2 linked regions of the Cricetulus griseus genome follow. The protein of the gene in region 1 interacts with the protein of each later gene in a pairwise test. Links are inferred from orthologs where the notes say so. Each region holds a gene or a part of one and is shown in the gene's direction. Other genes may lie near its edges.

Evidence for each region.
Region 2: the proteins of Stk4 (region 1) and Sav1 interact in binary tests that used the Homo sapiens proteins (3 or more experiments, as listed by UniProt). The link is inferred for Cricetulus griseus from reciprocal best matches to the Homo sapiens genes STK4 and SAV1.

The regions. Positions count from the first base shown.
Region 1 is NC_048599.1:15,442,180-15,448,773, reverse strand, and holds the start of Stk4 (serine/threonine-protein kinase 4), read left to right. Parts: upstream 1-2,664; 5' UTR 2,665-2,781; coding exon 2,782-2,816; intron 2,817-6,594. UniProt on the Homo sapiens protein: Stress-activated, pro-apoptotic kinase which, following caspase-cleavage, enters the nucleus and induces chromatin condensation followed by internucleosomal DNA fragmentation.
Region 2 is NC_048598.1:133,400,012-133,406,505, forward strand, and holds part of Sav1 (protein salvador homolog 1), read left to right. Parts: intron 1-1,540; coding exon 1,541-1,987; intron 1,988-6,494. UniProt on the Homo sapiens protein: Regulator of STK3/MST2 and STK4/MST1 in the Hippo signaling pathway which plays a pivotal role in organ size control and tumor suppression by restricting proliferation and promoting apoptosis.

The DNA.
Region 1 (6,594 bases):
GGGAGGCCGGTAAACAGAGACCAACGCGGCCGCCGCGAACTAGTGCGCCACAGCTTCCGCCCGGAAGCCGCGGCTGCGTGCCTTTAAGGCCGGCGGCTGACTGGTCTCGAGGGGCGGGGCCAGACGGGGTGGGGCCAGTGGTCGGCGGGCGGGCGGGCGGAAGCGTGGGCTCCAGCCCTTAAGTCTGGCCGCTCATTGTTCTCCAGGGGTGGGGCCGGGAGGGGCGGAGCCAAGAGGCTCAAAGGCGGGGCCTTTGAGAACGCAGGCCCTCTGCGCGTGCTCAGTCTGGAATTGGTGGTCCTCGTTTCTGTCCGGATTGCAGAGGCCGAGGCGACCGTGGCTGAATTATAGGAGGCGGATTGTCATCCCTCGTGGGGCTCACAGTCGCGGGAGTCTGGGAAGCAGTCAGTAGTCCACGACCAAAAGAAGGTGCACATTTCGTCAAGAGATTAGTGCTTTAAAGAAGCAAAGCGCGGGGTGATGCAAACCTACTGAAGGCTAAGGCAGCCGGCTCGTGGCATCTTCGAGGATTGCGCATTCTACACAGAGTGAGACTGACGAAAAAGACCATACGCACAAAGTAATACAATACGCTTCCAAAGAAAGAAAGAAAGGAAAGGAAAAGATGTAGAATCAGCAAAATCCGAAGTAGCTGGGTTTGGTGGCTCAGGTCTGTAATCCTACCACGTGGGAGGCTGAGGCCGATATACGTGAGCACCTCTTTTAAAACAAAATCGTTTCTGTTTAGGGCTGGAGAGATGGCTCAGAGGTTAAGAGTACCGACTGCTCTTCCCAGCAACCACATGGTGGCTCACAACCATCCTTTATGAGATCTGGTGCCCTCTTCTGGTGTGCAGATATACATGGAAGCAGAATATTGTATACATAATAAATAAATAAATCTTTAAGATCAAGATGACGCAATCGTGTTATAGGAAATAACGTGGAGTCTGTTAGACATGAGCAAGCTGAGGAAAGCCTCTTGAGTAACTGAGATGTAAGGCATAGGATTCCAGAGAGCTGTAAAGTACCCGGCATCTTGTGGACCATAAAATGTATTTAATGAGTGAATACAGATGACTCTTCTGTTGAGGTTGACTTCACTTTAAAACAACAGTTTTTAGTAGGTGTGGGGATACCTGCGATCATGTAGTACGGAGGCTGCAGCAGGAATACCAGGCAAGTCAGGGCTACGAGAGTGAGAGACCCATTCTCAACGAAAACAAACCAATATATGCTAGTTAAATATTAAAACACTCAAAACCGATAGCAAACAAAAGCCCCAAATTTGGCCCATCATGGTGGCACATGCCTTTAATCCCAGCTCATGGAGGGTGGGCAGAGGCAGGCAGGGTGGGGGGAGGGTCTCTGGTCTACATAGCAAGTTACAGGCCACCAGGGATGGACAGTGAGATGCTGCCTCAAACAAATCCCAACAAACAAACCCAAACTAAAAACAAAACAAAAAAGCCTCAAACTCCACAAAAGAATTGTGAGGGTGCCGTGATGAAACCACAGAAATCTGTGAGATTTGATCTATCTGCCAACAATTCTTTAGTCCAGCTTGAGCTGAGCCCAGAATGCCATTTTGGATCAAGTCAGTTGGACTGCTCTTTTTTGGGGGCGTATTAGGTCCAAAAGGAACCTCCAACCCCTCACTGACTAGGTCCAAGATAACAACAGTCTAGGCTCAGTTTGACAGGTTAAACAAAAGGATTACTGGTGGATAGATTGGTGTATTCTCCGGAACACAAATTTCTGTCTACCAAAAGGAGCCGCTTTCAATATCTTCCCTTGCTTGAAGGCAAAAGGTACTTGTTGACACATAGCTGTGGTTACACATCAGAGCCCATGCTAACCTCCAGGCTCCTTGTCCTTAGTAACATGTAGCTGTTACTAAGCCCCCAATGCTAGCTAGCATCCTGGCCCTTCTCATCTCCTCCACTATGCTAGCACCCATACTGTTCAGAGTAAGCTAGCTCACTCCTCTCCACAGCGGCTCTGCAGCAGCTTAGCTTTCTAGTAATGGCAACGTGTTTTTTTTTTTTTTTTTGTTTGTTTGTTTTTGTTTTGGCCCGATCCGCAATTATCTCTGTTTGCTATTTGTTTGCTTGTTTGTTTTTTGAGACAGGGTTTCTCTGTGTAGCCCCAGATGTCCTGGAACTCGCTTTGTAGACCAGGCTGGCCTCGAACTCACAGAGATCCGCCTGCCTCTGCCTCCCTAGTGCTGAGATTAATGGGGTTGCGCCACCACCGCCTGGCTCTCTTCACTATTTTGTCTGCCCCCAAGAAATAGTCTTGGCCAGTTAGCTTTTTCTCTTCGCTCTGGACTCTTTTCAGATGTCTTTGGTTCTTATCTACAATAAAACGTCCCCCAATCACGGAGCAGACATTTCGGTAGTTTTGTTTTCCTGCGCCTTAGCTTACAGGGCGCTTGGGGCTTTTCCCTTCGGCCCTAAGGAGAACTCAATTCTTATCAAACCCATGCTTTGCTAAGCCTCACTGCGCGAGAAATTGGGGAGCCCTCAGGCAATCAGGCATTCAGAGGCAAGCCAAGGAGAGGGTGTCGCTAACGCCTGAGCCACTAGAGGCCGCCCGAGAGGCGTCCCTTCGGAGTCTGGTTTCTATAGCTGCAAGCCACAGCACCACGTGACCCGCGCCGCTCAGCAACCCCGCCCGCTGCTTCCGGTAGGGGCGGAAAGCGGAAGTGTGGGAGGGTTTGCGGGGCGGGCTTCGGGAGGATGGAGCATTGAGGCGGTCTGGGCGGCTGCCGGCAGCGCCATGGAGACCGTGCAGCTGAGGAACCCGCCGCGCAGGTGAGGGGCGGTAGCCCGAGAGGAGGAGAATCGGGTGGGGAGAGGGATGGCGCGAACTTGCTGAGGGGAGACACCCGAGCGCAAGCCCCGGGCGGAGGGGGACCCGCGAGACAGGCGAGCGGGCTGCAGGAGCACCTGCTGAGTGAGGGAGCATCCGCTGGGCGCGATAGAAAGTGGGCTCGGTTACAGGGAGCATTCTGTGTGGGGGACTCGCCTGAGCAGCGTGAGGACAAGTTAGGAAGACACCTGCCGAGGCCGGGGGAAGCTCCCCAGGAAGAGACTCGAGGACTTAGGGCGAATGCCGAGGGTAGATGAAAGCGAACCCGTTTGGGATGAGCGGGGGCTCACTGAGAGGGTCTTGAATCCCACAGACCACGCGGTGAGGAAAGGTCTGTTGCATTGCTTCTGAGGCAGCAGGCGGTAGAAAAATTGTTGGAGGTCCCATAGTTAGTAAGAAGTAAAGTGGGAATTTTGTGTCCCGGTGGCCCTGTCCAAAGTCATTGCTCCTAACTGCCTTACTGTGGCAGTACCCAAGTTTCGTGGGTCTCGTAATGGAGAGAGGGTGATGGAGGGTGTTCTAGGGTCGTCCCGATTTGGGGATGGTGATGATGGTGGTGGAGCCTTTTGTTGCTGCTGTCTTGAGTGCCTGCCTAATTTTCTCCATATCCTTCCAAAACCTAAAGCTCTGGGACATAGATAAGGAAAGAAAATACCCGAGATGGGTTAGCTGAGGTCCAGTAAATAGAGTTGAGACACAGTAGATCCAGCCAGACGGTGTCCCTTTCAAATTCTGTTTCAATACTGTCAGCTCCAGATTCTAGAGGTATCTGGAATTGTTTTGGGTCAAGATGACCGACTCTAGGAAGTCTGCCGTCCCGGACTCGTTGATGTTGTGTTGGACCACTCCCCCTCACCTGGAGAAAAGAGCACAGAGCCCGAGGGAGTCATACTTCTCTCAGATGCAGCTAAAAACTTCGGTTTCACAGAGAAGACATTTGACTTCCTGTAGCAGAGGGAGCACTAAAATAGGAAGTGTTCAGAATAAGGGAGTGCCCGGCAACTGAGAGGTGAAGAGAGGGGATTCAAGCCTGGGGAGCACTCTTGGGAGTTGCTGGAAGTACATAAACGTGAAATAAAACAAATAGCTTGTTAGTGTGGTGTTCTGAGACTGTAATAGCAACGGCCATTAATTACACCCAGAGAGCACTTACAGGGTGCCAGGCACTGTTTTAATTGCTTTGCATCTTGCCTGTTCAACCATATGAAATTGCAGTATTTGGCCACTTTTGAACTTGTAAAAAAAAATGGTACTTTGAAATAGTACAACTTACTAACTCACTGACCTTCACAACTAATGCATAAGGAGGATATCCTTGTATCCTTGTTTCACAGATGATAAAGCCAGGGCAACAGGTCATTTGTTAGCTGCTCCATAGCTAGTAAGAGGCAGAGTTGGAATTTTAATGTCTGGTGATCTAGTCCAAAGCCTTGTTCTTATAACTTCCCTACTCTGGCATCTCCCTGGAAGTTACCTGCTACATTGGGTCTTTGTATATGTGTATCTTAGCAGATAGTTATTGTATGTATGCAGTCAGTAACTACTAGATTTGTTCTTTCTTTTTGGTTCCCTTTCCCAAAAAACCTTCATTTAAGTAAAATGAGAATTGTGAATGTGAGTTTTGTTTCTCCCTTTGTGTTTGGTGATTGTGGCAGGGGTGATTGGGTTTTGTTTGTTTGTTTGTTTTGTTTTGACTTTGCTCATCCTTGTACCTTTTGGATTTTTTATTTTTAAATATTTATTTATTTATTTGGTTTTTCAAGACAGGGTTTCTCTGGAACTTGCTTTGTAGATTAGGCTGGCCTCTAATTCAAAGAGATCCCAGTGCCTCTGCCTCCCGGTGCTGGGATTAAAGTTGTGTGCCACCACTGTCCAATCTACCTTTTGGATTTTAAGAACTGTAATAAATTCCAAGAGAAGAGCATTGCAGGACTGAATCGTTGGATGATTGGTGCTGTCCTGTTCATTGTAACTAGTGGACTGCTGGGTTTTATTATCATCAGTACTAACTGGCTTGGATTTCTGTAACAAATACCACACCCAGATGGTTTAGACAACAGAAATTAACTATTTGCCCTTCTGGAGGCTGGAAGTCTGAGGTCCAGTGTCTTTGGCTTACAAATGGCCATCTATCCCCACATTTTATGTGGTCTTCGTTCTTATCAGTCCCTGTCCTCAACCCTTCCGCTTACAGAGTCATCTGTCTCCAGATACAATCTCACACCCTGACACTCTTTGGCTTAGAATCTTAATGTTTGCACGAAGGATAGGGCATAGTTAATTTAGTTGCCTTTTTGTTTGTTTTGAGACAGGACCTCACACTGTAGCTCAGGTTGGCCTCAAACTCACTACAGTCCAGCTCTGAGTGCCAAGAGGAGCCATTGGCCCTGACAACTTTGTTATTAAAATGTTTCAGTTTATCTTTTACATTTGTTGTAATCTGCAAAATTTTGTTAGAGGGATGGATATGCATTAATAAAATGGGCCTTTGAGAGTTCTGATATGGCACAGATGATTGAAAACTAGCCAGATCTGAGCACCACTTTGTAACATTTGTTGTGTTTGGAACTATAGAGATGTCTTCTTGAGAGGTTCAGGTGGTGTGCTGCCCAGCAGTCTTAGTGCAGGAAATAGTGTTTGTATTCATGAGCTTGACATGCCTGTGTGACTCAGTGGTTGATGATGGATGGTGTAATGCAAGAGTTAGTGATTTTAAGACGTCAATTGCCATTGGGTAATGGTGTAATGGAAGGCCCAGGGTGCATTCCTGAAATGCTGGCCATTCTTGTGTCGGCTGACTTAGGATAGGAACATCACCAACATTTGGTGTGTGCAATTGCATTTATTGGCCAGGCCTGTTCATTATGAGCAAGAAAAAACTAGTATGGGATGTCACCTCTGAGTGAATGTCATCCCACAGTTCACGAAAGTCAGACCACTTGGGTGATAGTCTTGTCCTTGAAGTCTCAGTCACTTAGCAGATGTTTCATAGAAATTGTGTTTGTCGATAACCTACTAGTTAGCATTTTCAATGAAATTTTATTATGAGTCAGGTGTGGTGGTGTGCACCATTCTGGAAGCATTCTGGAAGGCAGAGGGAGATAGAACTCTGAGCTTGAAATCAACCTGGTGTACAGAGCCAGTTCCAGGACAGCTAAGCTACAGAGAGAAGAAAAGACAAAAAAATTCTATTTTGATAACATAGAGAACACAAGATTGCTACTCAAGGTTATGTGATTGCCACACCTACATTGGTTGATCCATTTAGCAAATATTTTCTGACCATCTATCTCTTGGTTATTTGGTACCAGAGTTAATAATGCTTCTTTAAGTTTAAAGTGTTTTAAACATTCTAGATGCAAAACAAAACTCCCATGTATGTTGTTTAAAAGGCATGTGAACAGTTGTTTAAAGTTTCTCTGAGTGTTATCGAGTCTTGCAACTGTCTCTTAGGACCAAGGCAGTTTCCTTTGTTCTGTGGTTTCTGAAATAGCGACTTCGGCTTTTGTTAAACTGTTAAGAGTCAACACTTGAAAGAGAATCAGATCTCCTCTGTATAAGCTGTGTATAAGAGTTTCTTCTTGATGAATGAGGTATTGTCCATTGTTTATACAGCTATGATTGGGGATTTTACCAAAAAACCCGAGCTGTTCGCTTTAATTTCTGAGATCGTAGAAATAAAATATCACGTCTGAAGTTTAAGGGGAGTTTCACTTCAGC
Region 2 (6,494 bases), on another chromosome or scaffold:
TGTTGAGTTCAATCTTTCAGTGAATAACTCGATACAGTTTCTGTCATCAACTTAATTATTCCAAAATTAAGATGTTCTAGTGTTAACTTCTGACACGTCTCAGTATCATTTACTTAATGAATTCAGAAAATGTGCTAAATATCCAGATTTCTTCATGTTTTAAAGGTATTCGCTTTCTAGCTTAGAAAATCTTAACCGCTGAGCCATCTCTCCAGTCTTCTAGCTAAGAAAATCTAAGCTGTTCACACATTGTTTTCTGTAATCCATTGTCTTGCTTTGAGTTATCTGTTCTTAAAGGAGCCATAATTATAATTCCAGGCTTATCATTTTTCAGTAGATTCAACATTTGTGTGCATCTTTGGGATTAGATTATTTTTCAATTTCCACACCGCACACTTTTGCTTTCTAATTTTGAACATTGTACCTAGAACTGGGTAATTCTGAGAGTAGAAAGACAAAACTGTTAATTTAAAAATCTTTTAAAAGAAATTTGCCTTTGCATGTTTTGGAGTAGCATTTTTCTTTATTGTAATGAAATTGTGTTGGAATGAACAAAGATTCTTTTTTTTTTTTTTGATGCAGACTGCATGAGGCTTTATTGTTGTTTAAAGAGCTAACCCCATGTTAGCTCAGGTCTTTCACCCACCTGTCATGGCGGATGGCTAGCAAAGACAGCTAGAAGGGGCTGCAGAGAGATCTTGTAGGGCAGTGTATGGGGAGTGTTTAGGGGTATGCACAGGCCTAGGATTGGTGTGCCTTCAGGCTTGGAGGGCTTGCCCTGTGTTGATTGGTCAATTGGTTGTTATGGCCCATAGGCCTTCCCAGGGTGGTTGCTATGCTCTGCACGTCATTGCTGTGCACTTGTCCCATAAGCACACCCAGAGCAGTAAAGCATAGCACCACCAGCTAACTTCTGATTGGTTCCTTCCCACGAGACAGGCATCTGACTTCTAGTGACTAGGACAAGGTCATGGCGAGCACGAGTTACTGTCATGGCTGCTGAAATGGGGAGCTGGTCCCTGCATTCCCCCACTTTCTTTTTTGGAAATTTCAATCATGGAATTGCTGTCTCCCTAGCGTCCCCATCAGGGAGTGAGAGATATTGGCATCCCCATGCAAGGGAGTTCCTTCTGACTTAGCATTTTAACCAGGGAAAATGGGCAGCGAATTCTTTCCCATGCTACTCCCTGCTGACTTTGGGACGAAGTTAGGGACCCATGAACAAAGATTCTTGGCAATACTAAAATCAAGTGAAAACCTAACTGCTGTGCTGCATGATGCTGTTGACTGCATTGATTTATTAGACTATTTTCAGTCTCACTGACATTGTATTGTATTTTCTATGACAATATACAGCATCAATTCAGGTGTTGCTGAGCTTATACATAGCACAGTAATACAGATTATAAATTTATTTGCTTGGGAAATTAAAGTACTAGTATTAAAATTAAATTTTTGTTTTCTGGAGCCCTTTGTTAACATATATAGCTTTAGAAGAGTGTACTTATTGAAATGGTGATCTTATTCTGTTTGATTATAGATCTTATGCCTTCATTTATTCGCCATGGTCCAACAATTCCAAGACGGACTGATATCTGTCTTCCAGACTCAAGCTCTAATGCTTTCTCAGCTTCTGGAGATGGAGTAGTTTCTAGAAACCAGAGTTTTCTGAGAACTCCAATTCAAAGGACGCCTCACGAAGTAATGAGAAGAGAAAGCAATAGACTGTCTGCACCTTCTTCTTACCTTGTCAGGAGCCTAGCAGATGTTCCTCGAGAGTATGGCTCATCACAGTCATTTTTAACAGAAGTTAATTTTGCTGTTGAAAATGGAGACTCTGGTTCCCGATACTTTTATTCAGATAACTTTTTTGATGGTCAGAGGAGGAGGCCACTTGGAGATCGTGTACAAGAAGACTACAGATATTATGAATACAACCATGATCTCTTCCAAAGAATGCCACAGAATCAGGGGAGGCACACTTCAGGTAACTTGACATAATAAATAGCACATTGGTTTATACTTACATTTTGATTTAAAAGGTGATCTTCTGTGGGTTTTCTTGGAAAGAAAAAAGAAAAAGAATTCCTAGAGAAAAAGAATTTCCATTTTGCCATTCTTGCTTCTGCCTGCTTACTAGTAGTTTTTAACCTACAATGAATGACAGAACTCTTGGGTCTGTTTACTGTGCTGTCATACTAAACTTGATGTTTATCTCAAGACCATATTGACTGTTAACACTTTGGGGCTTGAAAATGTGAAAAATTTAATGTCTCTAGTTAGATTGAAATTAGATTCAGATTGGATAGAATGAGAAAGGTAAGTGTGTTAGCAAATTTGTCTTAAACCTAAGAAAGGAAAAGAGAGGAGGAATTGACTGCTAGGTATACAAAGTGTGGGCCATTGCACCCTGAGTGATCTAGCACTGTTTTTCCAAACCTTACTTTTTGTAGTCAATTATTATTTCTCAGGTTGGTTAATTATGTGTGAAACCTGCCTTTTTTTTTGTAACAGGTGGGAAACATTATGTTAATGAAGAGAGCTGCACTTTTTTCTTCTGACCTGGAGGTACTCCTCCAAGAAGGGGCTTATGGAATGTGGTACCTCCACTTGATTCCTAAAGCTGCCATATGGGACCTGGGGTCAGAACCCAAGTCTTCTGCTCATTACTGTAGATGAACTGATGCATGCTAAGAAGAAAACTTTTCCCACTTAGTAAATTGTAGGCTTTAAATCTGGCAGGATAAAGATGAGGATGATTGGTGTTTTTTTGTTTTTTTGTTTTTTCTTTAATCAGACACAACTTATACTAAACTGACTGACTTAACAATTTGGAATACAAATGTTTTAGCAATAGGAAACTTATCTTAATTTAATATTCATTATGTGTCTAGCAGTCCCCTTGGGATACCTTATATTTAGAGAGACAAAACCAGCATACACACAATAGTCCTAAAATACCTTATGGTTATACTTTGTAGTACTAACTGTTAGAGGGAGTCAGAAGAAAGATGAGTGTTGGTTAGAGGAATGCATGCTCCAAGGAGCAGATAGAATTTGAATTAGTCTTTGAGCTTGGACTTGGCATTAACATGGTAGGAGAAAGACATTTTAGGTAGAAAATTGGGGATACCCACTGCAAACAGAGTAGGTGTGGTTTACATTTAGGAGACTATGTTCCTACCTATTTTAAGAAATGTGATGTAAGGTGAAATGGAGACTCATGGTCCAACAGAAGGCTGAGACTTGAAACAAAGAAACCATTGCCCATTTCAAGATTAAATGCTTGGAGGGAAGGGTCAGTGGTTAAGAGCACTGGCTACTCTTCCAGAGGACCAAGTTCATTTCCTAGCTCACAGTCCTCTAACTCCAGTTTGAGGGGATTTGATACCCTCTTCTGGCCTCTATAGGCACTAGGCATGCAAGCGATGGAGTATATGTTCTCTGCCATCAAGATCTAAAAGAGCATTAGATCCCCTGGAAGTGGAGTTATCGGCAGTTGTAAGCTGCCATATGGGACCTGGGATCAGAACCCAAGTCTTCTGCAAGACAGCAAGTACTATTAACCTCTGAGCCATTTCTCCAGCCCCCAGTGATTAGTATTTTAAAGCAAATTAATGAGGTACCTGCTTCAGACATTTGGAGGGACAAGGGGAAAATGGGACACATCCAGATTCATAGAACTAGGACCCCTGCTGGGCGATGGTGTCACACACCTTTAATCCCAGCATTCAGGAGGCAGAGGCAGGCGGATCTTTATGAGTTCGAGGCCAGGCTGGTCTACAGAGTAGTTCCAGGATAGCCAGGGCTACACAGAGAATCCTGTATTGAGAAAAAAAAAAAAAAAGATTTTAGGTTATAACCAACATCTGCTTTTAATGTCAGTAGACTTCCATTCTGAGTCTCTTCTGTTTAAAAACAAAAACATTTGCCTTTTTTTTTTGTTTGTTTGGATACAGGGTTTTTCTTTCTGTAGACAGAGTTTTTCTGTGTGTAGCTCTGGCTGTCCCCTGTAGATCAGGCTGGACTCAAACTCACAGAGATCCGCCAGCCTCTGCCACCTCAGTGCTGGGATTAAAGATGTGTGCCACCACGGAGAGGCTAACTTTTAAAAATTACATTTGTCTTAGTTTGGGTTACTGTTGGCATCGAGAGGGGGACCTTGGCAGATCCCATGGCAGGTGAGGGACAAACAGAGCATGCAGACAGAACTTATGTGGGAAGTTTTATTGGGGGAAGGAAAGGGAGACAGGGGAGAGTGAGTGAGAGAGAGAGGGGCAAAGACCTGCCTGCCTCTTCAGAGGAACTGTGGGAGAGAGCGGGAGTGGGCGGAGCTTGTCTCTTAAAGGGACCTTTTGCACCTGCATATAGAGACAGGGTATTGCCTGCCATGCTCGAAAGGGGTGATGCATTCTGACAAGTGACCAAGGGGTGGGGCCAACGTGTGTCTGGATGCTAACACCATGGCCAAAGCAACTTGGGGAGGAAAAGGTTTATTTGGCTTACAATTTCATATTATTGTCAAAGGAAGTGAGAACAGAAAGGGCAGAAACCTGGTGGGAGGAGCTGCTATAGAGGCATTGGATGGGTGCTGCTTACTGGCTTGCTCCCCATGGCTTGCTCAGCCTGCTTTCTTATAGAACCCAGGACCACCAGCCCTGGGATGGTACCACCCAAATTGGACTAGGTTCTCCCCCATCAATCACTAATTGAGAAAATGCCCTTCAGGCCTGCCTACAGCCTGATCTTACGGAGACATTTTCTCAACTGAGGCTCCCTCTGATTCTAGCCTGTGTTTACATGAAACTAGCCAGTACAATGTGTTCCTGCGTGTGCACATAGGTGCGTGGGCGTGTGTGGAGGTTAAAGGACAACTTGCAGGAATTGGTTCTCTCCTTCCACCTTGTGGGTCCTGGGAATCAAACTCAGGGACTAGTGCTGAGTACTTTTACCCTCAGACCAGTTGATCTCTGAAGCTTGCTGGCTGACCAGTCCAGCTGAATTGATTAGTTGGTCCTAAACTTTTAAAGTTTTAAAGATCACTAAGAAATAAAAATTTTAAAAATTAAACTGAAAGTATCAGACTTTATTTAAAAAGTACTGAATGTATTTATTCCAGTAAATGTACAAGCATTTAGTTAACTAGAATCATCTTGTGGAAGCTGATACTGTTTTGTTTTTGCCGAGCAAGAGAAGTAGCAGTTGTCTTAGTTCAATACGTAAAGCCCTTTACCAACATCCTAATTAATACACATGTAGCATTTGTTATCTGTTACTGTGGTCCTTGTGGAACTCATGGTTCCAGAACCCACTTTACTGTCTTTAGTAAAGACAAATACTGCTGGATTTGGAAACGAGAATTTTTAAGTGTTATTTACACATATAGGGCTCAGGCAGCTTCCTAGTTGTTAAGGTCTTTTGAGGCATTCCCAGTGAAGTTTGGTAAAGATGAAATACTAGTTGAACCTGAAGGGACCAGTTCCCCATTTCGGCAGCCATGACAGTAACACGTGCTCGCCATGACCTTGCCTTGGTCACTAGGAGGTCAGATGCCTGCCTCATGGCAAGGAACCAATCAGAAGTTAGCAGGTGGTGCTATGCTTTACTGCTCTGGGTGTGCTTTTCGGACAAGTGCACAGCAATGACGTGCAGAGCGTAGCAACCACCCTGGGAGGGCCTATGGGCCATAACAGCCAGTTGACCAATCAACACAGGGCAAGCCCTCCAAGCCTGGAGGCACACCAATCCTGAGCCTGTGCATACCCCTAGACACTCCCCTTACGCTGCCCTATAAGATCTCTATGCAGACGCCTCGAGCCGTCTTTCCTGGCTAGCCTCCATGGTGGGTGGATGAAAGACCTGAGCTAACATGGGGTTAGCTCATTAAACAACTATAATAAAGCCTCGAGCAGTTTGCATCAAGCTTTCGACTCCACCTGGTGATTGGGGTGACCTTGGTACTGGGCCAGATCCTGGAGGCCTGAGCTTCCGGGGGTCTTTCAAACCTTCTTGGAATATTCTGTCCTTAGCTTGTGAATGCTTACTTTATATTTAATGGAGCATTTTTGTACAGTTACAGCCATACAAACAGAAACTATTCATTTATGAATAAATGCCAGTTACTATTTTCTGGGACTAATTTAAATTTTGGAAAACTGAGTTTTTAAAGTTGTAGCTCAGAAACTGAAGTTCTTTTATTTTCTTATTGATTAATTTAAAATTGATGGCTTGCTTGCTTGGTTTTGTTTGAAGAGTTATAATTGATCTTTTGTTGCTAAAATGATATGGTTAGTAATGTTCATTATTTGATCTTATACAGTGGGCTTTGGTAAAATAACTTTCTCAAACCTTTTTCTCCTTTCATGTGAAATGGTAGTAAGTCTCTTTGCTTGAGTTCCTCATGGTTGTGGTATTGTGTGCATTTTACTCCATGTGTTAGGACTGGTTTCTCTCTTTGTGATGTTAGGTTTGACCATGCTCTCTCCATGTCAGCC